2 linked regions of the Anolis sagrei genome follow. The protein of the gene in region 1 interacts with the protein of each later gene in a pairwise test. Links are inferred from orthologs where the notes say so. Each region holds a gene or a part of one and is shown on either strand. Other genes may lie near its edges. The genes, in order: UROD and LRATD2.

The links.
Region 2: the proteins of UROD (region 1) and LRATD2 interact in binary tests that used the Homo sapiens proteins (3 or more experiments, as listed by UniProt). The two-hybrid records come from large-scale screens. The link is inferred for Anolis sagrei from reciprocal best matches to the Homo sapiens genes UROD and LRATD2.

What each region holds. Positions count from the first base shown.
Region 1 is NC_090024.1:179,876,428-179,892,523, forward strand, and holds the start of UROD (uroporphyrinogen decarboxylase), read left to right. Parts: upstream 1-9,991; 5' UTR 9,992-10,075; coding exon 10,076-10,098; intron 10,099-15,410; coding exon 15,411-15,523; intron 15,524-16,096. Other genes in the region: E3 ubiquitin-protein ligase HECTD3, read right to left, coding at 470-585, 1,886-2,021, 2,609-2,701, 3,768-3,928, 6,923-7,279. UniProt on the Homo sapiens protein: Catalyzes the sequential decarboxylation of the four acetate side chains of uroporphyrinogen to form coproporphyrinogen and participates in the fifth step in the heme biosynthetic pathway.
Region 2 is NC_090024.1:18,578,557-18,593,946, forward strand, and holds the start of LRATD2 (protein LRATD2), read left to right. Parts: upstream 1-8,806; 5' UTR 8,807-9,410; intron 9,411-15,390.

The sequences.
Region 1 (16,096 bases):
GATTTTGAGATGCATCAGAAGTCCTGGATGATAAGGGTCCACTGAATGGGATTTCACAGGTCTTCATCGGAGGGGAAAAATAAACCAGTGAAATAAGGAGTGACCTGCTCCTGTCTCTCATATGGAACAAAGATCACAGGACTGGACAAACTTTTACTCCATAATTTAAAGGATGGAATTTGAGATCATTCAATAACAATGAGGAGAAAGACACACAAGCCAGGATGATGTAATGGGCTGAATGTTGAACTAGGTTTCTGGGAGACCAGGGTTCTCCACTCTGTGTTGATTGGGCTTGGCTCCATGTAAGCCACCCCAAGATGGATACCGGGTACAAAAATAAATTGTTATTATTATTATCATCATCATCATCACTACTATTATAAGGAGTATTTAATTGCCTCAGGACACCCAAGTGCCTTCCACTGTTATTTGAAAGGAAAGGGAAAGGAAAACTCTCACAACTCACTTAATAATGGTCCCTTTCTTCATGTTGAGACGAACCCAGTGCTGTCCCTGGGACCCATCACTCTCCCAGTAGGTGTCAGCTTGGTTGTCCGTCAGGCAAGAAACATTGAATTCTTCCTGGAGAAAGAAGAGCAGCATATTAGGATGGAAGAAGGACTGGATCATTACAATTCTGGACCAGAGTTTCTCAAACTGTGTTCCCCAAGATGTTTTGGACTTCAGCTCCCACAATTCCTAACAACTGGTAAGCTAGCTGGGATATCTGGAAGCTGAAGTCCAAAACCCCTGGAGTAGCACAGTTTGAGAAACACTGCTCTAGACCACTGCTTCTTAAACTGTGAGTCTCGACCCTAAATGAGACCCCCTCAGCTCAATGTTGGGGTCTCAAAAAATTGCAACAATAAAAGTAAAAGTCACCTAGTGGCTGCTTTAGATATTTTCAGGAATTTATTGTGCAGAGTTTACAACGGACCCTACAAAAGATGCTTCAGCTGTACATCATACTGTAAAGGTAAAGGTTTCCCCTGACATTGTCTAGTCGTGTCCGACTCTGGGGAATGGTGCTCAGCTCCATTTCTAAGACAAAGAGCCAGCATTGTCCATAGACACCTCCAAAGTCATGTGGCCAGCATGACTGCATAGAGTGCTGTTACCTTCCTGCAAAGTGGTACCTACTGATCTACTCACATTTGCATGTTTTCGAACTGCTAGATTGGCAGAAGCTGGTCTTAACAGCAGGAGCTCACCGCGCTCCCCAGATTTAAACTGCCAAATTTTGGTCAGCAAGTTAAGCAGCTCAGCGGTTTAACCTGCTGTGCCACCAGGGGGCCCAAGCAATTGCGTAGTCGGCAAAGAAAAATAGTGTTTAGCAAGCCTTGCAAATTTTGGTTTGTTATCATTAAATGTTTGATTTTATATACCTATATACCTGAGGTCACTAACATTTCTTGGACCGAAAGGGGTTGCAAGTGGAAAAGTTTAAGAAGTCTTGCTCTAAGCACACAGTTTCTCCTTATACCAGCATCCCACTATCCCCAACAAACTACCACCAAGAGAACATAACTCTTGAAATAGGAAAAGCTTCACTGCCCATGTTCTAATCATAGGCATGCCTCTGTTAATAAAGCCTATGGCAAAGAAGTTGTTTTTATAGTCATTTTATACTCATTCAACCTGATTTTTCTTGCTCACACTTGGTCTAGTTGGGAGCATTTATTAGCAGCACTGGTACTGGAGGATGGTGAAGAAACCCAGACTATCACTGCTGGATTGCAACAGTATGTCTGCAGTAAACAATACAATAAAGCTTCAGCTGGGAAATAATGGGATTCCATTGTAATCGATCTAACCACAGCCGTTTCCGCTTGTCTACAACAGGTACCGACACACAAGGGCATACCCCACATTAACACCTTACTGTGTAGGAGGAGACATCAATACTGTCCACATATTGCTTGACGCTGCCCAGATTCTCATCCTCCTTTCCAATGTGGTCATGAAGGAAATGCACCAGGTCTTCATCACACTCATAGCTCCACGTCGGGGGTACAAACCTTAACAGGCCAAATGATTAGGATTAATGGTACAGAATGAGAAGCAAGGAGTTAGTTAACATACATGTAATATATTGTATATACATATAATATTTATAATATTATAATGTAATACAATATAATAATATGATGTTATAATTATATTTTTATATTACATGTAATATTACTAATAATATTACAATATAATTGTATAGTACAATATAGTAATATATAATACTGATATTGTACTATGCTGATAATAAAATATATTGTATGTATATATATATATATCTTGTAAGCCATTCTGAGTCCCCTTCGGGGTGAGAAAGGCGGCATATAAATGTCATAAATAAATAATAAATAAACAAACTGTCGTTTACTTACCCTTTAATCCACAGCACTGTGTTCTACTTAACAAGAGCAAATATACCCTCCAAATAATATTTTCAACCCTTCTTTTAGCACCACTGCCAATGAAATTCAGCCCTCGGTCAACCAAATTCTGACCACACTTTTGGAAAATATGAAAAATTATGCTCAGTGCTGCAGGTAAACTCTCCCAATTGAAGAGCTATCCCAAACAACCTTATTCTGGAGTCCCAAATTACCGGAGTCTCTCTACAGCAGCTGCATCCGGCTCCATGATTTTGGGCTTTGTCCCAAGACGAAGGGAATATGTTACATCCACCACTTGCTCCCATCTGGAACAAAAGAAGGGCAACTTTAACAAAAAGCTTTAACTCCTGTTTAGATAAACAGAAATAGGGAAAAAGCTATAATGGCAAAAGCTGCAGCTGAGATAAGGACATAGCATATGAGATAAATTGTGTAACAATTTAAGATCAATGAGAATCATAATATTTATCATCCTTGTCATAATTATTTTTGCTGTCCTTCCAACAAATAAACAAACAGATTGAAAATATACTAAGAAAATCCTCTGAAAATGCGAGCCACAGATGCAGGTGAAATGTCAGGAGAAAATGCTGCTAGAACATGGCCATACAGATCCGAAACCACATAACACTCCAATGAATTGCACTATTGACAACATATGAATGGCTGCTATGTTATGTATATACATGCAAGTGCATTCACCTGAACAGCAGACCTATCGGCATTTGTAAACCTGTCCATATACATCTGTGAAAAACAGATCAATCAATTTTGGAAGTCAAGACTGAATAGAAGCAAGTGTTTAAAAGGTGATAGCATTACACCAGAGTAATGATGATACTTCCTAACTTCACTCTGAACTGGTTTCATGTTTTCACCGTACAGGTATTGCCTAATTTCCTACATTGCACAACAATGTCGCCATGCTGTTTGCATGATCCTGAACTAGCTAATCCAGACGGTGACATAACATACACCAAGGAAACAATGACGTACACCAAGGAAACAAGAAACAATGAATGAATAGAAAACAAAAAGGGCATGACCAAGGGGTGTGATTACTTGTGTACTTTAGAAAACACTTCCATTTGAAACCTCTGAAAGATCTCAATTTTCTTTGAGAACACATAGTGCAAACTTTATCACTGATTCCAAAAGGGATCAAATCAAGAAAAGGGAAATGAGTGAAGGCAGAATGCTCCTTATTGATGTACTACTAGCAAAATAATTGGAAGCCTAATATTTTGTAACAAGAGCATATTGCTTAACATTTATACATGTCAGAGATTCATGGCCCACGTACAATGTTTACTTTCACCTTCACACCCAATGGTCCTCCTAAAACCCACCCAAAGGCTTGACATCTTATACCTGATCACAGGTTTATAGTCTATCCCAAAAAGCTGCTGCTGCCGCTGAATTCTCTCTGTGGATTCAACTGGCACCAGTCTATCTCCACCATCGGCATGTTTGCACATGAGGATCCAGCCTTCGTCCAAGTCACAGCCAGTTTTATATTCCTCAAGCTGCTCCTACAAAGAGAGAATACAAGTCAGGTAGTTGGTACGAAGCCTGAGCTTTGTAAAACAAGCATCAGCAGAAACACAACGAAATATTTCTGGGCATAACTACGGTGTAAGATATGGACTGGCACCATATTTGTGACTACAAATGTTTATTTCTTTCATGGAAACTCGCTGTAGACCAGCACTGGTTTATGAACAGCTCCTTTGAGTAGAATTGATTTACACAGATCGAATGAAAAGTAATGCCTCCACCTTCGTAACTCCTCAACAGATGGCAGTACTGGTATGCAGCAGGTACTGGCTTGTTCAGTAGACTCTCCTCTACAGTTCCATTTTGGCAGGAAGCCTTAGCATTGAACAGTTGTGTTGTTAAAGTGCGAAGTATGGAACCCTGCGTGACTTAAGCAACATGCAATCATTGACTTCTTGACAGCAGAAGGTGTCACCCCAAAGGAGATTCATCAGAGACTGAAAGCTGTTTATGGTGATTGTGTTGATGTGAGTACTGTGCGTCGTTGGGTGAGTAAGTTTAAAGATGTTGAGGTGGGAACATCTGACTTGCATGACAAAGAGTTGGACATCTTGTGACAGCAACCACCGAGTTTCACAAGCAAAAGGTTGACAGATTAATTCAGGACAATTGTTGTATCACTCAGAGACATATTTCAAACATTATCAGCATTTCACAAGACCCTGTGGGTCACATTATTGCTTTGCTTGGTTATTGGAAGATATGGGTACCCAGGATGAGAGAACTGTGAGACACAACTTCAATTGCCGATTCACAAGCATTTCCTCAACAAAGTAGGAGTGCACTTTGCACATGCTCAGACTACATTCATTCTACAGCAGATGTGGGCATAATTCGGCCCTTCAGGTAATTTGGACTTCAACTCCCAGAAATCCCTTTAATGTAAGCCGCACCGAGTCCCTTGGGGAGATGGTAGCGGGGTACAAATAAAATTATTATTATTATTATTATTATTATTATTATTATTATTACCCTTTCCTGGCTATTAGGAATTGTGGGAGTTGAAGTCCAAAAATCCTGGCGGGCTGAAGTTTGACATAGAGGCATAGAGGCACTCAAGGTCATAAAAAAAAAAAAAAAACCAAAGTGCAAAGTGCATTTCAACTTCCTTCAGGAAACACTTGTGAATCTGCAGTCAAGGTACATTTTCAACTAGTATCAAGCAACATTTGTTCTATAGCAGGCATGGGCAAACTCCCAGCCAGGAGGCTGTTAGAAATTGTAGGAGCTGAAGTCCAAAACACCTGGAGGGCCAAAGTTTGCCTATAGCTAACATAGAGGCATTCAAGGTCGTACAAAACACCAAAGTGTCTCCAAGCATGTGCAAAGTCCATTTGAACTTCCTCCAGCAAATGTTTGTGATTCAGCAGTCAGGATACATTTTCAATTAATAACAAGCAGAATTCGCTGTATAGCATAGATGCACCCAATGATGTAACAAAAATCAGGGTGTCTCTGAGCATGTGCAAAGTGTATCCCTACTTTGTTCAGGAAATACTTTTGAAACAACAATTGAAGTGGTGTCAGGCTGCATTCATTTTACAGCAGGGATGCACTCAAGGTGGGACCCAATTGCCTCTGAGCTTGTGCAAAGTGCATTCCTATTTCGTTCAGGGAATGCTTTTGATCAGCAATCGAAGGGGTGTCAGGATGCAATCATTCTACAACAGGGATGCACTTAAGGTGGGACACTAATTTATTTATTTATTTATTTATTTGGAGTGCTTCTACCCCCCCCCCCCAACCCCCTAGGGGGGACTCAGGGCAGCTTACAAAAGGCACAATTTGATGCCCAACAATTCACAAAATACAATATACAATTTACAATTTAACATCAACAGTTATTACTAGTTAAAACAATCAAATCAATACAATAACAGCAATAAAATCATTTTGTGGTAAATGTTCACCGATTTATAAATCCATAATCCATCCAGCATTGTCATTGTCCTTTCCTACTCTGGTCGTCATTGTCTTTTCTCCATCTGCCAGCTTACCTGAAGGCCTGGTCCCAAATCCAGGTTTTTAACTTCCTCCTGAAGGAGAGGAGGGATGTTGATGACCTAATTTCCCCGGGGAGTGCATTCCACAGGTGAGGGGCCACCACTGAGAAGGCCCTGCCCCTCGTCCCCACCAGTCTCACTTGTGATAAAGGTGAGGCCGAGAGCAGGGCCTCCCCAGAAGATCTTAAACTCCGAGGTGGGACGTAGAAGGAGATACATTTGGACAGGTACGCTGGCCTGGAGCCGTAAAGGGTTTTGTAGGTCAAAACCAGCACTTTGAATTGTGTTTGGAACTGGATCGGCAGCCAGTGGAGCTGACACAACGGGGGGTGGTGTGCTCCCTGTATGACGCTCCGGTGAGTAATCTAGCCGCCGCCCGTTGAACTAATTGAAGTTTCCGAACAAATGCCTCTGAGCATGTGCAAAGTGCATCCTGACTTCAATAAGGAAATGCTTGTGAATTAGCAATCGAAGTAGTGTCAGGCCACATTCATTCTACAGCACAGATGCACTCAAGGTGGGACACAAATGCCTCTGAGCACATGCAAAGTGCATCCCTATTTTGTTCAGGGAATGCTTGTGAAACAGCAATCAAAGTGATATAACGCTACATTCATTCGACAACAGGGATGCCTCTGAGCATGTGTAAAGTGCATTCCTATTTCGTTCACGAAATGCTTCCCTATTTCGTTCAGGAAATGCTTGTGAATCAGCAATCAAAGTAGTGTCCGGCTGCATTCATTCTATAGCACAGATGTCCTTAAGGTGGGACACAATTGCCTCTGAGCATGAGCAAAGTGCATTCCTACTTCGTTCAGGGAATGCTTGTGACTCAGCAGTCACGGTCCGTTTCAAGGGGCATCCGTTCTCCAACATAGATGCACCCAAGACCCTGAGCATGTGCAGAGTGCATTCTAACTTCCTTTCCCGGGGGACACTCCCTCCCTCCCTCCCTCCCCGACTCACCCTGGTGAGCTTCACCCACAGGCCCTGCCCGTTGCAGTGCTCCTCGCCGCTGGCCCGGAGGCAGGAGCCCTTGCGGAGCTCTATAGCGCCCCGTCCGAGGGCGCCTCCCTTCCCGGCCTTGCCTCCGCCTCCTCCGCCGCCGGGGCTCTCCCAGACGGAGAGCAGGCTCCGGCTCAGCGCCCCGGACAGGCCCGGCCCGCTGGCGTCCTTGCAGAGCTTGTACTGCACCTCCCGGGGCACGAAGCACAGCGCGGGCGGGAGCGGCTCCGCCCGGCGAAAGCACTCCACCGCCTCGCTCAGGAAGCGCAGCCGGCCCAGCAGCTGGTGCGGAGACTCGCCCCCCGGGGGAAGCAGCATCGCAGCAGCAGCAGCAGCAGCAGCCTCCAAGGGGACCCCTCCGGGCACTTCCGCCAGGGCAGCAGGCGGGTGGCTGGCTGGGCTTCCTGGTCGAAGCGCCCGCCCGCCCGCCGGCTTGGCAGCCTACCGTAAAGCACCCGGTATCCGCGCGGGAGGCAAGACACAGAAGTGCCCAAAGCTGATCACAACACTGGCCTTCTCCTCCCTAGTTATCTTGCACACTCCCTGCTTGCACATACCAGGGGCGTTCCTAAAGGATTCCCCCGACCCACTTCTATTTATCACAGGATGCTGAAACTGTGCATGTGTCATGATATAAGTCTCTATAGGTTATGTGCCAATTTTCAACTCTGAACTGATAACGGTCTTGATTTGACAGGTGCTGAAGTGGTGTGAGGTTTGATAATGGACCCAGTGGAATACAGAGCAGTCATCCAGTTCCTTTAGAATCATAGAATCCTAGAGTTGGAAGAGACCTCTTGGGCCATCCAGTCCAACCCCCTGCCAAGAAGCAGGAAAATCACATTCAAAGCACCCCCAACAGATGGCCATCCAGCCTCTGCTTAAAAGCCTTCAAAGAAGGAGCCTCAACCACCCTCTGGGGTGGAGAGTTCCACTGCTGAACGGCTCTCACAGTCAGGAAGTTCTTCCTCATGTTCAGGTGGAATCTCCTCTCTTGTAGTTTGAAGCCATTGTTCCGCGTCCTAGTCTCCAGGGAAGCAGAAAACAAGCTTGCTCCCTCCTCCCTGTGGCTTCCTCTCACATATTTATACATGGCTATCATATCTCCTCTCAGCCTTCTCTTCTTTAGGCTAAACATGCCCAGGTCTTTAAGCCACTCCTCATAGATCTTGTTCTCCAGACCCTTGATCATTTTAGTCGCTCTCCTCTGGACACATTCTAGCTTGTCAATATCTCTCTTCAATTGTAGTGCTCAGAATCGGACACAATATTCCAGGTGTGGTCTGAGGCAGAATAGAGGGGTAGCTTGACTTCCCTGGATCTAGACACTATCCTCCTATTGATGCAGGCCAAAATCCCATTGGCTTCCTGCCGCCGCATCACATTGTTGGCTCATGTTTAACTTGTTGTCTACGAGGACTCCAAGATCTTTTTCACATGTACTGCCCTCGAGCCAGGCGTCCCCCATTCCATATCTTTGCATTTCATTTTTTTTTCTGCCTAAGTGGAGTATCTTCCATTTGTCCCTGTTGAACTTCATTTTGTTAGTATTGACCCATCTCTCTAATCTGTTAAGATTGTTTTGAATCCTGCTCCTGTCCTCTAGAGTATTGGCTATCTCTCCCAATTTGGTGTCATCTACAAACTTGATGATCATGCCTTCTAACCCTTTACTTGAAAGGCCGCACACATAGAATCATAGAATCATTGAGTTGGAAGAGACCTCATGGGCCATCCAATCCAACCCCCTGCCAAGAAGCAGGAAAATTGCATTCAAAGGAGACGTTTGATGAGATGAAAGAGGTTAATGGTGATGATTCCCCATCATATGATGGAGTCAAGAACTGGAATCATCAATTCAAATGTGGTCAGACTTTGGTGCAAACAGCTCCAATTCCAGGGTGAGCGCACTCTGGTATTGATGAACACACCATGCAGCAAGTGGAGGTCACCATTTTGGAAAATTACTACATAACCATTTGCCACCTGGCCCAAAATGTCAAGATTAGCGTAGGGTCCATGGAAAAGATCATCCAAGACCATCTTCACATGCATAAGGTATCCGTTCACTGGATCCCTGGCTGCTCACACTTTTCCAGATGCAGAAACCAGTCGAATGCTCTCAGGCTCTATTGACAATGTGCCATGGAAACCAGGAGGACTTTTTCAACAGACTGATCACACAGAATGAAAGCTGGGTCCATCACTATGATGTGGAGACTAAAGTCCAGTTAATGAAATGGACAGGACTGAAGACTGATAGGTTGCAGGTTTGTATACAGGGAGAGCGTGGATGAGCTTCCTCTGTCAGCTCCGGCTCCCCTTGCGGGGACATGAGAGAAGCCTCCCACAAGGATGGCAAAACATCAAAAAACATCGTCCTTGCAGATGGTCAATTCTCTCACACCATATTTTTTTGTGTGTCAGGAGCGACTTGCAGTTTCTCAAGTTGCTCCTGACATGAAAAAAAAAATCCTACTGGCTGTTAGGGATTGTGGGAGTTGAAGTCCAAAACACCCGGAGGGCCCAAGTGTGCCCAGGCCTGCATAGAATCAATGCAATTGAACTGACATGACCCAATGCTATTGCTGTAATTTGGCGAGACACTTAAGACTTTATACAACTGCAACTCCCAGGATTTCATAGCTTTGATCCATGATACAGTACCATTAATTCAACAGGATATATAGCCTTTGTGGCAGGCACCCTCAAACCGTGGCTCTCCAGCTGTTTGGGCCTCCAACTTCCAGAATCCCTAGCCTGCTTGTCCAGTGCTCAGGAATTCTGGGAGTTGGAGGCCCAAACAGATAGAAGGCCGCAGTTTGAGGGTGCCTGCTTTATGGCTTTCCTTCAAATCCCAGCGGGATAGCCCTTGGGACCTTTCCTTTGGCCAGACCCCTTCTCTCTCTCTCTTTCTCGAAAGGTTCTCTACAACGTGCACTACGGTAATGCTCTTCTGTTTTCTCTACCCAAAGTGGGGGAAGGGGGTGGGCCCTCCAAGGACCAATCAGAAGGGACCAGGAAGGAACCCGGAAAAGGGGCGTGGCTAGTGGAGTTTCCCTCCCTCCCTGTTGTGGGCGGAGCCACTGCCCTGGCAGGAGAGGGACAGACAGAATGGAGACGAACGGGCCGATTGCGTGAGTAGCAGGAAGTGGGAGAGAGCATGAGAGTGAGAGAGAGTGCAATGGGTGCATCTGCACGGTAGAAATGATGCACCTTGACTCCACTTAAGCTGTCATGAGAGCTGTAATTTGACCAGGTCTTGAGCAAATCCTGGTTTTTGCCATTTTATATAAGGGATATCATTTCGAACTACTAGGTTGGCAGAAGCTGGGGCTAATGGATATAATTAGATCAATTATATCATTTGGTATAATTGATCCACAGAGTTTGGATCATGGGACCAACTTCCAACAAGACACCAGTACTTTCAAATCAGTCATTTAAATAAAAAATATTTAAATAAGGGGAAACTATCAGAGTAGATGCAACATGATGTTAGCTAGTTTACAGTAAAGGTAAAGGTTTTCCCTCGACACTAAGTTTATTCGTGTCCAACTCTGGGGGATGGTGCTCATCATTTTCTAAAGCGAAGAGCCGACGTTGTCCATAGACACCTCCAAGGTCATGTGGCCAGCATGGCAGCATAGAGGGCCGTTACCTTCCTGCAGCAGCAGTACCTATTGATCTACACATTTTTGCATGTTTTCGAACTGCTACGTAGCAGAAGCGGTGGCTAACAGTGGGAGCTCACCCTGCTCCCCGGATTTGAACTGCCAACCTTTCAGTCAGCAAGTTCAGCAGCTCAGCAGTTTAACCCGCTATGCCACCAGGGGCCCAAGCAATTGCATAATCGGCAAGGCTGCATTAGCGCCATTGCCTTCCTACTGGAGCGGTACCTATTGATCTACTCATATTTGCATGTTTTTGAACTGCTAGGTTGGCAGAAGCTGGGGCTAAAACCGGGAGCTCACCCTGCTCCCCAGATTCAAACCACCAGCCTTTCGATTAGCAAGTTCAGCAGGTCAGCAGTTTAACCTGCTGTGCCACCAGGGAGCCCAAGCAATTGCATAGTCGGCAAGGCTGTATTAGCACCATTACCTTCCCACCGGAGCAGTATCTATTGATCTACTCACATTTGCATGTTTTCAAACTGCTAGGCTGGCAGAAGCTGGGGCTAACAGCGGGAGCTCACTGCTCCCCAGATTCAAACTCCTGACCTTTTGATCAGCAAGTTCAGCAGCTTGGTGATTTAACCCGCTGCCACACTGGAGGCTCTATATTTACAGTACCCGTTATTATTTAGGGAAATATTTAACAATTGTGTACTTTCTGTTTGTCAACATAGGGAAGTAGTCATATCAATCTCTTGCTTTGTCCACTTGAGCATTGTTACTGCATGTTATTAAAGGCAGAAGAGACATTGTATATAGGAGTGGAAGCATGCCGATAGGTGGCACAGGAGTTAGATAGACTTGCTGTCTATTTGAAGGGAATTGTTTAAAGACTTTGAAGGGTTCTGTCTAAATCGAGGACTGTTTGGACTGAAATCTCATGCCCACTTTCCTGGGAGTAAACGCAGCCCAGTGAAACTGTGACCATACAAAGGATACACAGGATAGTGGCCATACAGAGAATTAAACTGTTTTTAGCACTTTAAGCTCCTTGGTGTGTTTATCTTACCAATACATTTCTTCCACAATGATAGTCTTAGTAAGCAGGTCTGAGAGAGATAACAGATACTTGGTCTGGTGCTATGCAGTTTCTCGGGGGCTCCACCAAGGATGCATTTGCATTGTCTAATAAATGCAGTTTGACACCACTTCAACCGCCATGGCTCAGTGCTGAAGAACTATAGGACTTGTAGTTTTGCAAATTGCAACTCCCATAGTTCTGCAGCAAATTGGAAGACTACAAGTCCCATGGTACTCAAAGTAGAATTGAACTGCATTAATTTTGTCATTTAGATGCACCCGGTGACATAATGTAGTCCTCTAGTTGGAAGAGTAAATTTCCTCCTCCCTGAATTCTAACAATTTAAACGCAGGTTTTCATTGCCGGAATCAATGGGTTGCTGTGAGTCTTCCAAGCTTCTGGCCATGTTCCAGAAGCATTCTCTCCTGATGTTTCGCCCACATCTATGGCAGGCATCCTCTGAGGTTGTGGGGGTCTGTTGAAAACTAAGACCTTGGATATTCCACAGATATATAAACCTCACATACTTATTTTCCAACAGATCCCTCACCTTCTGAGGATGCCTGCCATAGATGTGGGCAGTGTTTCTGGAACATGGCCATACAGCCTGGAAGACTCACAGCAACCCATTTTAAATGCATTAGAGAAAGATAGGGCCCTCTGGTAGTGCAGCAGGTGAAACTGCTGAACTTGCTGACTGAAAGGTTGGCAGTTTGAATCTGGGGAGCAGGGTGAGCTCCTGTTGTTAGCCCCAGCTTCTGCCAACCTAGTAGTTCAAAAATATGCAAATGTGAGTAGATCAATAGGTACTGCTTCTATGGGAAGGTAACAGCTCTCCCTGCAGTCATGCTGGCCACATGACTTTGGAGGTGTCTACTGACAACGCCGGCTCTTCAGCTTAGAAATGGAGATGAGCACCACCCCCAGGTTCGGACATGACTAGAGAAACATAGTGCAAAGTGTAGTGCTACAGTACCATTTCATTGATGCACTATAGCAGGCCTAGGCAAACTTGGGCCTTCCAGATGTTTTGAACTTCACCTCCCACTATTCCTAACAATCTCAGGCCCTTTCCTTTCCCCCCTCAGCCACTTAAGTGGCTGAGGGGGGAAAGGAAAGGTCCTGAAGTTGTTAGGAATGGTGGGAGTTGAAGTTCAAAATACCCGGAGAGCCCAGGTTTGCCTACACCTGCACTATAGCATGGCGATTGTAAAGAAAGTGACAACAAGAAGAGAAAAGAATATCCTGGTATGTTCTGAAATTAAAAAGAAACCCATCCAAGAATGAAAAAAACCCAAGAACTACAGGAACCAATATTTATTAATAATTTACTTTAGATTGCAAATACTGCAACCTTCTGGCTCAAGCAACCCTTCCTCAAGGAACCCAACGAGCACTTTGTTGTCCTACGATCATGCAGGGAAACTGTTCTGTTGTTTACTGATAATTTTATATCAGTGACCATTCATGGGCTGGGCCTCTGTGGGTTTTCCTCGCCTGTTGTTTTCAAAGAAAAAAATGGAAAAGCTAATCCATTTTTACCTTTGGCAAAGCACAATGTATCATTCAGACAAGAATGGAACCCATATGTAAATATAGTAATTGTTGACAGGTTCTAATTATACTGAATAATATTATGGATTTATTTATTTTATCGTATCAGGAGCGCACCAAGGGTACAGTTGTAATGTGTTAAAAATACAAAGTTTTAAAACTTGGCATTAAATTAAATGTCTTTTGACCAGTAGCTGGCTGCTTAGAGTGCCTTTGGTGTCACTATAAGAAGGTCCTCCACTGTGCATGCGGTAGGGCTCAGACTGTATTGTAATATGTGGTTTGCTGTTCTGCACACTCACATGTCGTGGGCTCCACTTTGTGGTCCCATTTCTTAAAGTTGGCTCTGCATCTTGTGGTGCCAGAGCGCAGTCCCTTCAGCAACTTCCAAGTTAATCAGTCTTCTGTGTGCCCAGGAGGGAGTCTCTCATTTGGTATCAGCCATGGATACAGGTTCCATGTTTTAGCCTGCCACTTTTGAACTCTCGCGTGCTGAGGTGTTCCTGCGAGTATCTCTATGGATCTTAGAAAACTATTTCTTGATTTAAGGTGTTGGCATGCTGGTTGATATCCAAACAGGGGATGGGCCGGAGATGTCAATGCCTTGGTCCTTCCAGGGTAATTCCCAGGTATTTGGGTGTGCCGCAATGCTCCAGTGGGATTCCTTCCCAGGTAATCCTCAGAGCTCGAGATGCCTGTCTGTTCTTAAGATGGAAAGCACCTTCAGTTTTGAACTTCTTTGCATGTGACATTGGGTGCATCTACACTGTGTAATTAATGCAGGTTTACACCACTTTAACTGTCATGGTTCAGTGCTAAGGAATCCTGGGAGTTGTAGTTTGCTGAAGCACCAGCACTCCTTGGCAGAAAGGTGAAAGAAATTATAAAGCAACTTCCAAGATTCTATTTATTTATTTTTATTTATTTACCCTATTTATATCTCACCTTTCTCTACCCTGAAGGGGACTCAAGGCGGCTTACATGTGGCATTTATTCAATGTTTTGCAGCACATACAGATATTAAAAACTTAAAATCAGTTGAGTTAAAATTAATACAAATGAAGCATTTTAAAAAATTACATTGCGTATTAATATCACACCATTCAAAGATTGTTGTCCAAGGCCGATTCCATAATCATTGCACATAATCCAATTTATATTGCAGTACACTAGTCTCCGAAAGCCTGGTCCAAGATCAAGGTTTTTATTTTCCTTCTGAAGGGAGGAGGGAAGGAGCTGATCTGATGTTGCTAGAGAGGGAGTTCCACAGCTGAGGGGCCACCACTGAGAAGGCCCTGTCTCTCATTCCCAACAATTGCACTTGTGAAGAAGGCAGGACTGAGAGCAGGGCCTCCCCAGATGATCTTAATCTCCATAATATTGATCCACGTTAAAATGGTATCAAACTGCATTAATTCTACAGTGTGGATGCAACCCTAGTGCCCAGTGAATGGGTATCACATGCAGAATTCATGGTCTAGGAGTAAAAACAGAGATTAATCTGAAGATCATCATTTAAAAAGCAGGGATTAATTTTGAAAATCATAAAAAGTATTTGTGAATCAGCCAAAGGCCTTTCCTTCCCAACTTGAACTGCCATGGCTTAATGTTGCGGACTTTTGAGAGTTATAGTTTGATGACACTCCAGCACTCTTAGGCAGAGAAGGCTAAAAGCCAAGTAAAACTTCCATAGCATTGGGCCATGGCAATTCAAGTGAGGTCTAGCTGCATTGATTCTTCACATAGATGCACCCACAAAGAGAGATACAGGCAGTTCCCAAGTCATGAACAAGATCAATTTTGTAGACATGTTCTTAAGTTGAACTTTTATGTAAGTTGGAACAGATACATTTTAAGTGTACCTCCAACCCCTCCCTCTATACATACACACACACACAGAGAGAGAGCTTTGGATAGCATGGGGAAGGGTTAACACCCCTCCATTGTTTGTTTTTCTATCTGTGACAATTGGATTTTGAAAAATATAGCTTCTTGTGGAAACAAAGATGGGAGATACAGCTTCAGTGGAGACCCCTTTTCCCCAGGATAACTCTTTCAAAAGTGAATTTTCCTTCCTATGGGTGGATTTTTCTCACTTCTTGTTGTTTCACCCCTGTTCTTAACTATGAGTCTTAACTATGAGTCTTAACATGGTTCTTCCTCATCCGCTTTGTGCTAACTCTCTGCTTTTCTTAATTAGACCCACAGGATTCCCCGAACTTAAGAATGATTCTTTCCTCCGCGCAGCACAAGGGGAAGAGACAGAATACACCCCAGTTTGGTGCATGAGACAGGCAGGAAGGTACCTCCCAGGTAAGTGAAATTATTGGGTGGATGAAGCTTTAGGGAAGTGCAAAAAAACCTGTGGTCGTCTAGGTGGGGAACACAGCTCCCATCATCCCTCGCCATTCTGGCTCAATAGTCTCTAAAAAAATATTCCTTCTGATCTTAGGCAGTGTTCTTAGTGCCAGTTCTTAGGGTTGTTCATGCCATTATTTGTCCTAGTGAGGTGCATCAACCATAAAACCTGTGATGATATTTTTCAGAAAATTGTTTGTGAGGAAGGAGAAATATGTCCTCATGTCAGAACCTAAAAGTACATTGTTCACTCTTATTATTTGGCTTCAAAATTAGTATAGAAGAAATTTAAAATCTATATGGAAAGTATTAGAATATAAGAAGAGTCAACAAGTTGACTTTGATTTATAGTGACCCCTCTATCACCTTCAGCCATGCCCGGACCTTGCAGGGCTGTGACTTCTTGATTGAGTCCATCCATCTGGAATACAGTTTTCCTTGGTTCCTACAGCTTTCTATCTTACCAAGCATTATTATCTTTTCTCGTGAATCATGTTTTCTCATGATATGTCCTAAGCATGACAAACT
Region 2 (15,390 bases), about 160 Mb from region 1:
GCCATATAAAGACCAGATTATCTGCTTTGAACTGGATTATATGGCAGTGTAAAGTAAAGGTAAAGGTTTTCCCCTGACATTAAGTCTAATCATGTCCGACTCTAAGACAAAGAGCTATGTTGTCCATAGACACCTCCAAGGTCATGTGGCCAACATGACTGCATGGAGCGATGTTACCTTCCCTCCCAGAGAGGAAAGTATTGATCTACTCATCATTGCATGTTTTTGAACTGCTAGGATTGCAGAAGCTGGGGCTAACAATGGGAACTCACCTAGCTCCCTGGATTCAAACCTCCAGCCTTTTGGTCAGCAAGTTCAGTAGCTCAGTGGTTTAATCTGCTGCGTCACCAGGGGCTCCTGTGATATGGCAGTGTGGACTCATACAATCCAGTTCAAAGCAGATAATGTGGATTATCTGATTTGATAATCTGAATTATATTGATGTTGAAAGGCCCAAGAAAGCATGGTTTGATAGCCAGCATGGCATAGTGGTTTGATGAATCTGGAGACTAGGGATCACATGTCTGCTCAGTCATTGAAACTTATTGAGTGACCTTGGGCAAGCCACACACTCAAAAAAATGAAAGGTTCACCTTAGGGTTGCCAGAAGTTGGAAACAACCAGATGGCACACAACAACCACAACAATCTCCAAGTAGAGCTGGAAAAGACTTCCAGAGCCAGATGTGGAAATCACAGAGATTTTCAGATATAGTTTGACCGCAAGTATCAGAATGCCTAGCTAGCACAGAAACAGCTACAATTCCCATCAAGACTGGGCAAAATAGCCAGGATTATAGGAGCTGTTACTGGAATAGTGCTTTGCTCAGTAGCGAGAACACACTTTACAAGCTGAAGGCCCCACATTCAAACCTGCCATCTTCTTTTTAAAAAAATATGTGAGGAATCGGGTAGCAAGTGGTGTGAAAGTCCTTTTTCTATCAAGACCCTGGGAAACTGCTACTAAGCCAAGTAGGCACTATCAGGCTTACTGGATATATAACCTAATTAAACAGCTTCTTTCTTTTTCCTAAATAAGTTTTTAAAATCCCATTCTGCCCACTGTTTTTTAAAGGTACTTTGTGCTTAAAGATTCCCCCAAGTCCTTTGCTTGCTAATTTTGGCCCCTTCCACACAGCTGAATAAAATCCCATATGATCTGCTTTGAATTGGAATATATGGCAGTGTGGACTCAGATAACACAGTTCAAAGCAGATATTGTGGGATTTCCTGCCTTAGTATGGGTTACATGGCTCTGTGGAAAGGGCCCTAAGAAGGGGAAAGAACACTTCAATGATGGTTAGCACTGTATGAGACACTGAACTACAACACCTCCTGAGCTTTGCGAGTGCAGCATTTTCCCGAATGAAGCAGAGTGTGTTTGAGGACTGAGACATCTGTAGGGTGCTTGTTTATAAAGCTATTGTCCTCCCAACTCTGCTATATGCCTGTGAAACGTGGACTATCTACAGACATCACATGCAACTCTTGGAACGATTCCATTAGTATTGCCTCCAGAAAATCCTGCAAATCTCTTGGGAAGACAGGTGGACAAATGTCAGGATGCTGGAAGCGCTGGCCCTTGAGCACTCTAGTTGGAGATCAGCTGTGACCAGCAGTGCTGTAGAATTTGAAGAAGCACGAATGGAGGGCGAAAGAGAGAAATGTGCCAAGAGGAAGGTGCATCAAGCCAACCCCGACCAGGATCGCCTTCCACCTAGAAGCCGATGCCCTCACTGCAAGAGAACATGTGGGTCAAGAATAGGGCTCTACTGTCACCTACGTACCCACTGCCAGGACACCGCACTTGGAGGACAATCTTACTTGGTCAAGGAGGGATCACCTACGTATGTAAGTGTAGGAGACAGAATCAGCCATCTCATTTGATTCTTGCAATGAGCTCAAATGCTCCAGATAGCAACGATGCACAAAAGCATAAGGAGAGGGGGCTGATGGGGAAGAAGGAATCTTATAAAATAAATGGGAAGGGAAGCTTTGTAACAAAACAGAAAATAGGAGCAGGCACATCTGGGTTCATTTTAATGAGTAATTATTTCTGAGATACTCCAGGTATATGGAGGAGGGGGTTATCTCCTCCATCCCATGATATGGGACAGCATCAAGTCCCTTTCGATACGTTTCTCATAGCAATGAAGTGTGCGAATCCTGGGCAATCATTGTCTACGTAGGAAGCCTTTGTGGATCTTTGAGCTGGTTTTTGATCTCTCTTCCTGCCTGCTGACATCGCCAGAATCGTGTGTCTTCGGCCTCTTCCAGCGATGCTGTGTAAGGAATCAGGATTGCCAAATTATGCTCTCTGGGAGGGTGTCTAGGCCATTAACACTAAATTCCCCAAACTTCTGAGAAATGATGCATACTCTCCCCTTCCCACTGTAGTATAATGGCATACATTTCACAGGTGAAAATGGAGACATGGGCAGCCAAGAAACATCCAAGTGTTGTCAAAATGGCAAAAAGTTAATAATGAGTCAGGGCACATCATCCGAATGAGCCTGCAGCAGTTTGCTTTTGCCACTGGGAAGAGCAAAAGCAATTTCTACTCGCTCCCCTTATGGAGTTAAGCACAGAGTACTTCTGATTTTTTAACTCACTTTGCAGCTATTGAAGCTGGACCAAAAGGGAAAGAGATAGAGAGAGAAAAACTGGGACATTTTTAAAGCAGCCGAAAAAGTGGGGCAGCAATGGATTACTCAGAACTGTCCATGTCAAGTTGGGATTGTTTCCCGCTATATGAACATGCAACAGAACTTCATTCAATGACACTTTCCCTTCATGGCTTGACTTATCCTCTCCAACATGTCAAAAATGGAAACTGGGACATAGGAGCACAGCTTCATTGGTGTTGGAATTCAAAAGAAACCTCTTGTTTAACTGGCAAACTCTCCCCATAGTTTTTACAAGGTGTGTTTATTTCTTTTGCTTCCCAGGAAAAAGTAAATTAGATTTGCACAGCCCAAGATGTCCTGTTCCAAGACTAGGGGAGGGTGCAGCCAATTGCTTTTATCTGTGCTTGTTGGGAAGGACGAAATTCCACTTCTCTCCTCACATTGAGTACAAGCTTTTGTTATTTGAGCTATTTTGCAATAGTTGATGTAAGTTGATGATGAAATGGAAATGTAGGAGGCAGAGAGGAAAACTGGGGCATTCTGAAAGCAACTGTGAAATTAGGCCAGTGATATAATAATTTTGGATGTCCCTGCCAAAGTGCAACAGTTGGAAGATATATTGACTAATGGGATGGGTGGAGGCTGCATGCATTCACTTTGGCCCGCAGTATGTCTCAAATCTCCCTAGATGTCCTTGATATCCTTTCCAAATGTCCTGGATAAAAGCTTCACCCCAACATTGTAACATGAATTCCTGGAAACTCAACAAGCCCAATTTGCCTGTAACTCAATGTTGTAGGCCTTTGATGTACTTCTGGGAAGGCAGGGTAATTACAGACAGGATTCCTTTTACAGGCAGTCCCCAAGTTACAAACAAAATAGGTCCTGTAGGTTTATTCTAAAGTTTAATTTGTTTGTAAGTTGGAACAGGTAATTTTTCAGTGTAACTACAGATATAGATATACATGATTTGGATAGCATGGGAAGCATTGCTTTCTGTGCCCCTCTTCAGAAGATTTCACCCCACCTACTGTCACTGTGAGAATTGGATTTTGAACAACAACAACAAAAACAACAACAAAAACAACAACAATTTTATTTTTATACACCGCCTCCGTCTCCCCGAAGGGACTCACGGCAGCTTACATGGGGCCAAGCCCAAATAACAGAGTTAAAACATAGCACATTAGACTGCATAACAACAATCTTAAACAGCATAAAACAACATTAAACAAAATATAAAACAAGCAACTAAACCAACATCAACAACATAATTCAATCCTCGATATGGGTGGACAGCCTGGTGTACAACAGTTCGGAGGATTGGGCATGTAGCAGCATTAAGTATAAGAGCAATACAAAAGAGGTCAACTCTAATTTTGGATAAAATGGTAGTAAAGTGCATAGTAAAATTTTTGGGTCCTAACAAGGGACAATTGTCAAGGGAAATGTTTAATCAAATGCACAGCAGAACATCCATATCTTTAGATCTTTTTGAAAAGTGGATGGGGGGGGGGGGGAAGTCTCATCTCCCTGGGAAGGGAATTCCAGAGCTGGGGGGGGGGGGGGGCAACAACTAAAAAGGCCTTCTCCCACCAACCGGGCCTGTGATGGAGGCGGAAGTGAGAGAAGGGCCTTCCCAGAAGGCCTTGGGGGCTGTGTGGGTTCATAAGGGAAGGTGTGGTCTTGAAGATAGGCAGGTCCCAAACCATCCAGAGCTTTAATAGGTGATGACCTGCACCTTGAATTGGGACTGGAAACTTATTGGCAGCCAGTATAGCTTGTTGAACAGGGGGGGGGGGGGGTTTACCACTCCCTGTAACTTGCTCCAGTTAACAACCTGGCTGCCGACCTTTGCACCAAAGGCAGCTTCTGGGCCATCTTTGGGGCAGCCCCATGTAGTGTGCGTTACAGTAATCTAATCTTGAGGTAACTAAGGATTGGACCACCATGGTCAAGTCAGACTTCTCGAGGTACGGTCCCAGCCACCGCTGATACCTGAGCATCAAGTGTCAACGATGGATTCTAAAGGACTACCAGACTATGGACCTGTGTCTTCAGGGGGAGTGTGACCCCGTCGAGCACAGGCTGCCACCCCATGCCCCAATCCTTCGAGCAACTGACCTGGAGGACCTTTGTCTTGTCAGGATCTAGCTTCAGCTTATTGGCCTTCATCCAGCCCATCACAGCGACCAGACACTGGTCCAGGATCCGAGGGTCTTCCTTGGAGTTAGGTGGAAAGTAGTAGTAGAGTTGATTTTTTCCTACCAACATTCTTCAGTTTCTGTCTTTCACAACTAATGGGAAATATGAGAGCATGGGCCAACCTAACTTGGGTTTTCAATGACATACCTCTACACTTCAGGTTCTTGTTTAGTTCCTTCACAGCTGCCCTTCCAAATCCTAGTCTTCTTCTTGACTGAAACTTGTTCTCGGATAAATGCACACACATTTGCAATCTGAATATTTGAAACATATACTACAGGACCACATTATAAGGCAGGGGAGTCAGATTTAAAGGGCTTGTACCATTAATGATTGTGTAGAAGAAGGAATTTCAGAAGGTTTTGCTTGTCACACAACCAAGCAACAAATAACAAGTAATCCCCTCTTCTACACAACCATTAAAGGTGCAGAAGTCCTTTCCAGTTTTCACTCTAGCAAGCCTATTTGAAGATGAGATTTATTTCTCTTTTCCCCGCTCTGAAGCAGGAGAAGATGAGTGTTGGGGTTTATTACTAAGCCTTTATTGCATACAGGAATCAAACATAAATACACCAGGCCAGCATTCAAGATGTGTAATTCTGTAATGGAAGAAGCTGTACTTGAAGAGGTTTGTTTCATTTTCTTTCCTTTATAGAAGAGGGTGATGATAGCTTTTCAGCCAGCCAAGCTACCTGTGGTTTTGTAGAGGTTTCAAGTTGCAAAAGGCAGAGAGATAAACTGCCTTAGACTCAGGCTGAATAAAACACATATTGGAAGAAAGCTGCAGAGGTTCAAGCTGAACTCTGACCATCATATGCAAAGCCAAAGAATAAATATTACCACCACCACCACCCAAAACAGCCCACAACGTTTAGTTAACAACATGAAAGCAGGAAGGGAGAGGTGGAGAGAGAGAAATAACTTATTGGTTACCCTCATTGTTGTTCAGGGAAGGACTCACATGGTCCATCAAATGTTGTTGAACTACAACAAGTATTATCCAGCAGAGACACTTGGTAAGAATGCTGGGAGCTTTAGTTTAAGACTATCTGAAGGGCCACATGGTTCCAACCCTGATTTAGGTCACATGACTGGTAAGGACAAAACCGGATGGTTGTCAGATTGTGGATGGTTACTTTGGAGAAGTGTTTTTCAAACTGTGCTCCTCTAGGTGCTTTGGATTCAGCTCCCAGAAATCCCAGTCAGCTTATCAGCTGTTAGGAATTGTGGGAGATGAAGTCCAAACATCTGGAGGAGCACAGTTTGGAGAATCTGTTGGTGCTTCAGAAAGTTCCAAAAGGTTGGAATCAAGTTGCTTTTATTATTGTGTTTTCTTCAAAACGTTTTGGACTAGAGCAACCCTCTTGAAGGATTTTCTTGGCAACATGTGTTCATTTTCTCAGCCTCTGAGGTGCTTTCCACACAGCTGAATAAAATCCCACATTTTCTGCTTTGAACTGGAATATATGGCAGTGTGGACTCAGGGTCCTTCCACACAGCCCTATATCCCAGAATATAAAGGCAGAAAATCCCACAATATCTGCTTTGAACTGGACTGAGTCCACACGCCGATAATGTGGGGATTTTCTGCCTTGATATTCTGGGATATAGGGCTGTGTGGAAGGCCCCTCCGATAACCCACTTCAAAGCACATACTATGGGATTTTCTGCCTTGATATTCCAGGTGATATGGCTGTTTGGAAGGGCCCTGAGGCTGAGAAGGTCTAGGCGACCTTTAAAGCTAATCCCACCTCTAACTCCCCTCCCTTCTACAAGCATTTTTAAAACATGGAAACAACTCCATGGAATACTGAGCTATGGGCAAAGTGGATCTGTTGAGTTTTCTCAGATGTAATGTTGGAGTGAAGCATTTTTCCAATATAAGGCTGTCAAGGGGCGCATATACACTGTCAAAACAATGTTCTTTGATGTGGCTTTAACTGTCATGCCTCAATGCTATGGATTCATGGGAATTCCAGATTTACAGGGTATATAGTAGGCCTGGGTAACAACGGAAAAATTTGTTTCTAAAATCGATTCGTTTTTTGGGGGTTTTTGCGTTTCGTTATTTAAAATAATTACAAAATTTTCCTTTTAAAAAGTTCGATATTTACAAAATTTCGTAAATGTGAAAAAAATTACAAAACATTAACGAATCGATTTCCGAAACAATAACAAATAGATTCATTAATGGCGGACGCGACCGCAAAATACGCTAAAAACCTCCAAAAACTTCTGAAGCTTCCCTCTCCCTCTGTTGTTGACTGTTGGTGTGATATTATAATTTTTTTTCACTAATTAAACAAAAAACTTGCCCCAGACATGTGGAAATAATAACAAAACGACCTCAGAATAATAACAAAACGAATACAATAACGAAATACGAAGCATTTACAAAACGTGTTTAAAAATTCATTTTTTAAAAAAATTGCTCCAGAATGGTTCGTTATCATTTTGTAATTTAAAAAATTAACGAATTATTAACGAATTACGAATTAACGAAACGAAACCACCCAGCCCTAGTATATAGCCATTTGTGCCTCACCAAAGTACAACTCCCAGGTTTCCGTAGTATATATTTAGCCATGGCAGTAAAAGTAGTATCAAATGCCTTTAATTCAACACCAGACATCTTCCGTAAGTACTTATCAGCAACGCATGTATTTCAAAATATTGGAGGGAAAACTCAAAAATCAAAACACTTCTGGTGCCAAATGTTGTATTTTCTGATGGTCTTTGGTGACCCCTGCAGGGGTCCCGACCCCCAGGTTGAGAACCACTGTTCCAGAATATCTGTGTTCTGTTCTGTGTTGCGCAAACAGTGCTCCCGAAGGAACGAAGCTCTTTATTGCTGCCCACCACCTTTGCCTGAAGCCAGGCATGTCCCTGCCCCCCCCCCCCCCGAAATTCTCATGGTGGTCTGCGAAAAGGCCTTACTTGTACATTATTTAAACTGTTATGTTTATTCCTATCATGATCTGATCGCCATGCTCAATATATCCCATATGCATGGGGGTATTGGGGTGACTTTGTATTTCTAGGTGCAAAGATTACTGCAGATGCAGACTGTGGCCAGGAAATCAGAAGACGCTTCCTTCTTGGGAGGAGAGCAATGTCCAATCTTGATAAAATAGTGAAGAGTAGAGACATCACACTGGCAACGAAGATCCGCCTAGTCAAAGCCATGGTATTCCCTGTAGTCACCTACGGATGTGAGAGCTGGACCTTAGGGAAGGCTGAGCGAAGGAAGATCGATGCTTTTGAGCTGTGGTGTTGGAGGAAAGTCCTGAGAGTGCCTTGGACTGCGAGAAGATCCAACCAGTCCATCCTCCAGGAAATAAAGCCCGGCTGCTCATTGGAGGGAAGGAGACTAGAGACGAAGTTGAAGTACTTTGGCCACATCATGAGGAGACAGGAAAGCCTAGAGAAGACAATTATGCTGGGGAAAGTGGAAGGTAAAAGGAAGAGGGGCCGACCAAGGGCAAGATGGATGGATGGCATCCTTGAAGTGACTGGACTGACCTTGAAGGAGCTGGGGGTGGTGACGGCCGACAGGGAGCTCTGGCGTGGACTGGTCCATGAGGTCACGAAGAGTCGGAGACGACTGAACGAATGAACAACAACAACATTGGGATTGGGGTAACATACAAAGGTTTGCTAGGGTGGACCCTCTTTTACTCAGACTCACCCCCCCCCCCCCGAATCAAAATCCTGGCTACGGGCCTGCCTGAAGCCCATCCCGGTAGGAGAAAGTTGCCTCCTTCCTTTCTTCCTTCCTTCCCTCCCCGTCCGTCAGCGTGGAAGGCACCTCTCTTCCGCGTGGCACAGGGAGGAAAGGAAAGGCAAACTCGCAAGCAGGGGCGGGGGGCGAAGGTTTGCACGCCTCCTTTCCCTCCCCCTGAAGCCCAGGCTCCCTCCAGTGGTGCACCCTCAATTACAAGCAGAACAAGAGGAGGAGGAGGAAGAGGAAGAGGAGGGGAAGGAGGTGGGAAAAAAAGCAGCGCGTGGCAAAGCCGGAGCAAGTGCGCCTTGAAAACACGCGCGTCCCGGAGAGAGAAGGAGGTGTAAGGAAGGGGGGAGAGAGAGAGAGCGCGTGCACGTGCCTCCCGCGGGCCAAAGGAGTGCGAGGAGGAGGAGGAGGAAGTGGGAAGGAGGAAGAGTGTGCCTGCCTGCTTGCCTGAGCGCCGCCTGGCTTGCAACGCCTGGCTGGTGGAGCTGCGCTTTGGAGTGGCGCCTGGGCTTCTTTTCTTTCTCTCTCCCTCGGATACACCCGGGCTGAGGAGCGAAGGGAGGCGTGAAGGGCCGGGGAAAGGGTGGCGGGCACCTGCCGGCCCACCTGGAGCGCCTCCTCAGGTGGAAGAGCCGCCACGCGAGACGCCGCTTGGGAAGTTTCCAGCGCCCACGACGCCTCCGTTGCCCGGGACGCTGCGAGCGCAAAGGGAGGAGGAGGAGGAGGAGGAGGAGAAAGAGGAGGAAGGGATGGCGGGGCGGATCAGGTGACAGCGGCGTCGGCAGCAGGGCAGGAGCAGCACCTGGGCTCAGGCTGGTGGTGTGTTCCGAGGCGGAGGCGGCCGGCCAGGTGAGTCGGGCTCCCAGGCAAGGCAAGGAGGGAGGGAGGGCAGGCGCTTCCTGGCTGGCAAGGGCTCTTCCCTCGCCCCCTTCCTCTCTTCTGGGCTCTTTTCTCAATCCTCAAGGACCTTGGAAGAGGCAGGAAGGGAATCATCCCCCTCCCTCCCAAGGCAGCTGTCAATACAAAGTTTCCCCGAAGAGAAACTCCGCCAATCAATCCCTCGGAGATGCTGGTTCGAAGGCTAATAGGGATTTCCTCAGTTCCGGGCCTTCAGTTGCCATCTCCAAGCCATTGTCTTCCAGTCCTCGTCCTCACTGGGTTCTCACTCCAGTGGCAAACCTGACTCCAAAGTTTTCCCTTGCTATTTTGCCACTGCTGTTGGGCAAGCGGTTCTTCTAGGAAGTCAGGTTTGCTGTGAGTTTTCTGGGCTGTATGGCCATGTTCCAGAAGCATTCTCTCCTGGCGTTTCGCCTGCATCTATGGAAGGCATCCTCAGAGGTTGTGAGGTCTTCTAGGAAGACCGTGTTGATTATTTTGGGGGACAGTTTTCAAACCCAGAACTATCTGTTCTGAAGGGTCTACAAGCCTTCAAACTACAAGAAAAGAGATTCCATCTGAACATGAGGAAGAACTTCCTGACTGTGAGAGCCGTTCAGCAGCGGAACTCTCTGCCCTGGAGTGTGGTGGAGGCTCCTTCTTTGGAAGCTTTTAAACAGAGGCTAGATGGCCATCTGGCAGGGGTGATTTGAATGCAATATTCCTGCTTCTTGGCAGGGGGGTTGGACTGGATGGCCCATGAGGTCTCTTCCAATTCTTTGATTCTATGATTCTATGGTTCTTTGTATCCCTTGGGGTTTGGATCCAAGACCCCAAAATCCATGGGTGTTGAAGTCCCACGATACAGAATAGCATCGCAAAACAGCACCCCTTTTCTAAAACGGCAAAATCAAGGTTTGCTTCTGGACTTTTTGTGTGTGTGAATGTTTCCAAGCCATGGATGGTGAAATCTCTGGATATAGAAGGCCAACATTTTGAGGGGATAATCTCTATATAAAGATGAGTGATGGTATCTATTGATCTACTCCTTTTTGCATGTTTTTGAACTGCTAGGTTGGCAGAAGCTAGGGCTAACAATTGGAGCTCACCCCATTTCCTGGATCCAAACCACCGATCTTTTGGTCAGCAAGTTCACCAGCTCAGTGGTTTAACCCACTGTGCCACCACAGTGTATATATATGTGGAATGTCCAGCGTGGGAAAAAGAACTCTTGTCTGTTTGAGGCAGGTGTGAATGTTACAACTGGCCACTTTGATTAGCATTGAATAGCCTTTCGGCTTCAAGGTCTGGCTGCCCCCAGGTCTGGATTTAAAGTCCATACTCCCCCAGTCAGTAAGCAGCCAGACCTTGAAACTGCTAGGCCATTCAATGGTAACAAATGTGACCAATTGCAACATTCACATCTCCCTCAAACCAACAAGAGTTCTTTCTCCCACTCTGGACATTCCACAGATATATAAACCCCAACTGCCTAGTTTCCAACAGACCTCACAATCTCTGAGGATGTCTGTCATAGATGCAGGAAAAATGTCAGGAGAGAATGCTTATGGAACATGGCCATACAGCCCAGAAAACTCACAGCAATCCAATGATTCTGGCCATGAAACCCTTTGACAACAAAGAATCTCCGGTTTGGCTTTTTAAGGTTCAAAACACTTCATTCCTTGTGCTTTTAATGCAACAGATGAGCCTCTCTGGAAGAAATTCGAGAGCTGTGTCTTTAAAGTAATGTTTCTCCCTTCCTTCTACGCTCTCAATGTAGGTGTCAGTGTAGGCAAAACTACCAAAGCCATGGAGTTAAGATCTTACAGGTTTCTTATCTGTCTCTTTTCTGTGATTTCCAGAGTCGTTTGCAAACAGAAGCTCCAGCCATTCCCCTCACTGCTCCCTTCCTCCGTTTGTGCCTTTTCCTCCGTTTTATGGAGAGCATAACAAGGCTTTCCAAGGTGCTGCTTGAAACACTTTCCCTGTGATTCTCAGCGTCTCCATGCTGAATTTATTTGCACTTTATCTCTGCATAGGTTTGTATAATCTGCACTCTACCCTGAACGAGTGTTTGTAGGATCCTGAAGCCACACCTCCAACTTCTTCCTCTTGTTTGAGCAACAATTATAGGAGAGGAGTCACAAGGGACGGCCCTGGAGGGTTGTTGGAAGGGTCGGTGAGACAATGACGCTTCTGAGGAGCAGAATGTTAATTCCAGTGTTTGTTGTTGTGATAGTTCCTCATAGTCTCTTGACACCCTGCCTAGGGGAAAAGGGACCGGAACAAACACATGATATCATCTAGTAGGACTCTTGTGGGGCTTTTATGGGTGTCTAGCCCCAACTGTGGAAAATTCCATGTGATCAGAATCATTCAGAAAGGAATGTTTACTTCCTTTACTTCAGTGTTTCTCATCCTGGGGGTGAGGACCCCTGGGGGGATTGCAAAGGGGTGTCAAAGGGGTCACTAAAGAGCATCAGAAAACACAGTATTTTCTGTTGGTCATGGGGGTTCTGTGTGGAAAGTTTGGCCCAATTCTATCGTTGGTGGGGTTCAGAAGGCTCTTTGATTGGAGGTGAACTATAAATCCCAGCAATTACAATTCCCAAATGTCAAAGTCTATTTTCCCCAAACTCCACCAGTATTCACATTTGGGCATACTGGGTATTGGTTCCATGTTTTGTCCAGATCTATCATTGTTTGAGTCCACAGTGCTCTCTGGATGTCAGTGAAATACAACTCCAAAATTCAAGATCAAATCCCATCAAACACTTCCAGTATTTTCTGTTGGCCATGGAAGTTCTGTGTGCCAAGTTTGGTTCAATTCCATAATTGGTGGAGTTCTGAATGCTCTTTGATTGGAGATGAACTATAAATCCCAGCAACTACAACTCCCAAATGACAAAGTCTATTTTCCCCAAACTCCACCAGTGTTCACATTTGGGCATGCTGGGTATTTGTGCCAAGTTTGGTCCTGATCCATCATTGTTTGAGTCCACACTGCTCTCTAGATGTCGGTGAACTACAACTCCAAAATTCAAGATCAAATCCCACCAAACTCTTCCAATATTTTCTGTTGGTCATGGAAGTTCTGTATGCCATACTTGGTTCAGTTCCATTGTTGGTGGAGTTCAGAATGCTCTTTGATTATAGGTTGACTATAAATCCCAGCAACTACAACTCCCAAATGACAAAATCTATCCCCTCCAACCCCATCAGTATTCAAATTTGGGAGTATCGGATATCTGTACCAAATTTGGTCCAGTGAATGAGAATACATCCTAAATATCAGATATTTACATTACGATTCACAACAGTAGGAAAGTTACAGTTATGAAGTAGCAACAAAAAAGCTTAGTTGGCTGACGGGGAAAAGGAAGGGGCCTGAAGCTGTAAGGAATTGTGGGAGTTGAAGTCCAAAATACCTGGAGGACTGAAGTTTGCCCATGTCTGCTTGAGAGATTGTTCAGTCACTGGGAAAAAGAAGCAGTGACAGGACCTTATCAGCAAAGCAAGTTTTGCTGCAAATTTCCTATGATAGAATAAACAATAATAGATGGAATAGCTCCCAATTTAGTCAGTCTTCTCACTTGGGATGATGGAGCCATCCTGGTTAGCATGTTTCCTCCAGAATTCAGAGCATGCTTTGCCAAAGGAAGATGCTTGATGTTCAAGGGGACTTGGCCCTATGGAGATTTGTATTCGTGCTTTATATCATGTTTACCTGGTGTTGACTGTGTTGTCTTTCTTCATCAGGAGACTTGGGAGTCTCCATAGATATCCAGTCTATGCGCCACTGGATATCTAAGCACTTGAAGAGCATAGTGCAGTTGTTGAGCACAAAGCCTGAAGCTATAAATAACTGGCTCTGTTTAGAGTAGGGGTGGGAGTTAATGTGGGCTCCAGGGCAGTTTTTGGTGGGCCTTTTCTGGCCAGAAAAAATGTTGTCCACTTTTCACCGAGCAGTCTTCCCAAGTGGAAATTCACCACTGAGATAGACTGTAGTATACTTCCTACAACCTGTTGAACATTCAGAAAACCTTTTTTTTCCTTCAAAACCAGGAATGGAGTTCTCCCTATTTCTGTATTTACGTTTGGTTTTGCATTTTAGGGGACTGTGTCACTTTGGAGGATTTCGGGAAGAAAAATGTTTCCAAGTTGCCCACTCTGGCTTAAAACTATGACATTCTCTTTTGGGAACCAGTTGCAGAGTAAACTTACCTTTTGAATAATGTATCAAACAGTGTTTCCATAAGTTGGGTTGCTGTGAGGTTTCCGGGCTGTATAGCTGTTTCAGAAGCATTTTCTCCTGACGTTTCACTCACATCTATGGCAGGCATCCTCAGAGGTTGTGAGGTCTGTTGGAAACTAGGCAAGTGAGGTTCCTATACCACCTCACTTATATAAACCTCACTTGCATTAAAAACACAAGGAATGAAGTGTTTTGAACCTTAAAAACCAAAACCAGAGATTCCGTGTTGTCGAAGACTTTTGTGGCCAGAATCACTGGGTTGTTGTGAGTTTTCTGGGATGTATGGCCATGTTCCAGAAGCATTCTCTTCTGACATCTATGGCAGGCATCCTCAGAGGTTGTGAGGTCTGTTGGAAACTAGGCAAGTGGGGGTTTATATATCTGTGGAATGTCCAGGGTGGGAGAAAGAACTCTTGTCGGATTGAGGGAGGTGTGAATTTTGCAGTTGTCCACCTTCATTAGTGTTGAATAGCCTTTCAGCTTCAAGGATTGGCTGCTTACTGCCTGGGGGAATCCGAACTTTGAATCCAGATCTGGGGACAGCCAACCTTGATGCTGAAAGTCTATTCAATGCTAATCAAGCTGGCCAAATGCACCATTCACACCTGCCTCCAACAGACAAGAGTTTTTTCTCCCATCCAGGACATTACACAGATATATGAAGTTTAAACCCCGCTTGCCTAGTTTCCAACAGACCTCACAACCTCTAAGGATGCCTGCCATAGATGTGGGTGAAATGTCAGGAGAGAATGCTTCTGGAAGATGGCCATAGACCCCAGAAAACTCACAGCAACCCAGTGATTCCAGCCATGAAAGTCTTTGACAATACATCTCCATAAGTTGACAGACAACCTGAAGACAGTGGGTTGTTGTAGGTTTTTTTGGGCTATATGAAATGTTCTAGAGCAGTGGTTCTCAACCTGGGATCCCCAGATGTTTTTGGCCTTCAACTCCCAGAAATCCTAACAGCTGGTAAACTGACTGGGATTTCTGGGAGTTGTAGGCCAAAAACATCTGGGGACCCTAGGTTGAGAACCACTGTTCTAGAGGCATTCTCTCCTGACGTTTTGCCTGCATCTGTGGCAAGCATCCTCGGAGGTAGTGAGGACCTGAAGACAGACATACACAGAGAACCTTTGTTACACAGTCCAGTTCCCTTTTCCTGAATTTTACACCTGCTGCCTTTTCATAGGCACATAGGGTTTTCCTGTTATATTGTGAAACATGTTATGTGTGGTATTGCTGTCTGGTCAGAATCCAAGAGAGAGAGAACCTTCCCCTTTCCACACATTACTCTTTATTCCAGTCTTTCCCTTTCCTTTATTCTTGCTGTCTTCCTCTTTCTCTAAGTTCTGTCTGTTTGTTTTATGTTTTGGGTGGGAGCTGACACATCCCTCAACTCACTCTATCAAGCAGTGTGTTCGCTGATACATAGAGGCGGCTAGTTTTAGGTCAGTGAAGCAATATTCTTTCTTGTCAGCAAGTTTCTGTGCTGTTTTTTGCTCAATTTCAGCACCTGGCAGGTGGCAAAGTAGTACCTTCCAAACTCTGACTTGTCACCTAGTTCTTCCTGCTTCAGCTTCCTGTTGCATCGCTGAACTGCCTCGTCTCCAACAGGTGGCAAAGGCCTCCAGCATCTCACCCTTTTTCTTTTCCTCAGCATCTTCCCCATGTGGTCTTTTCTGTGCAGCAATT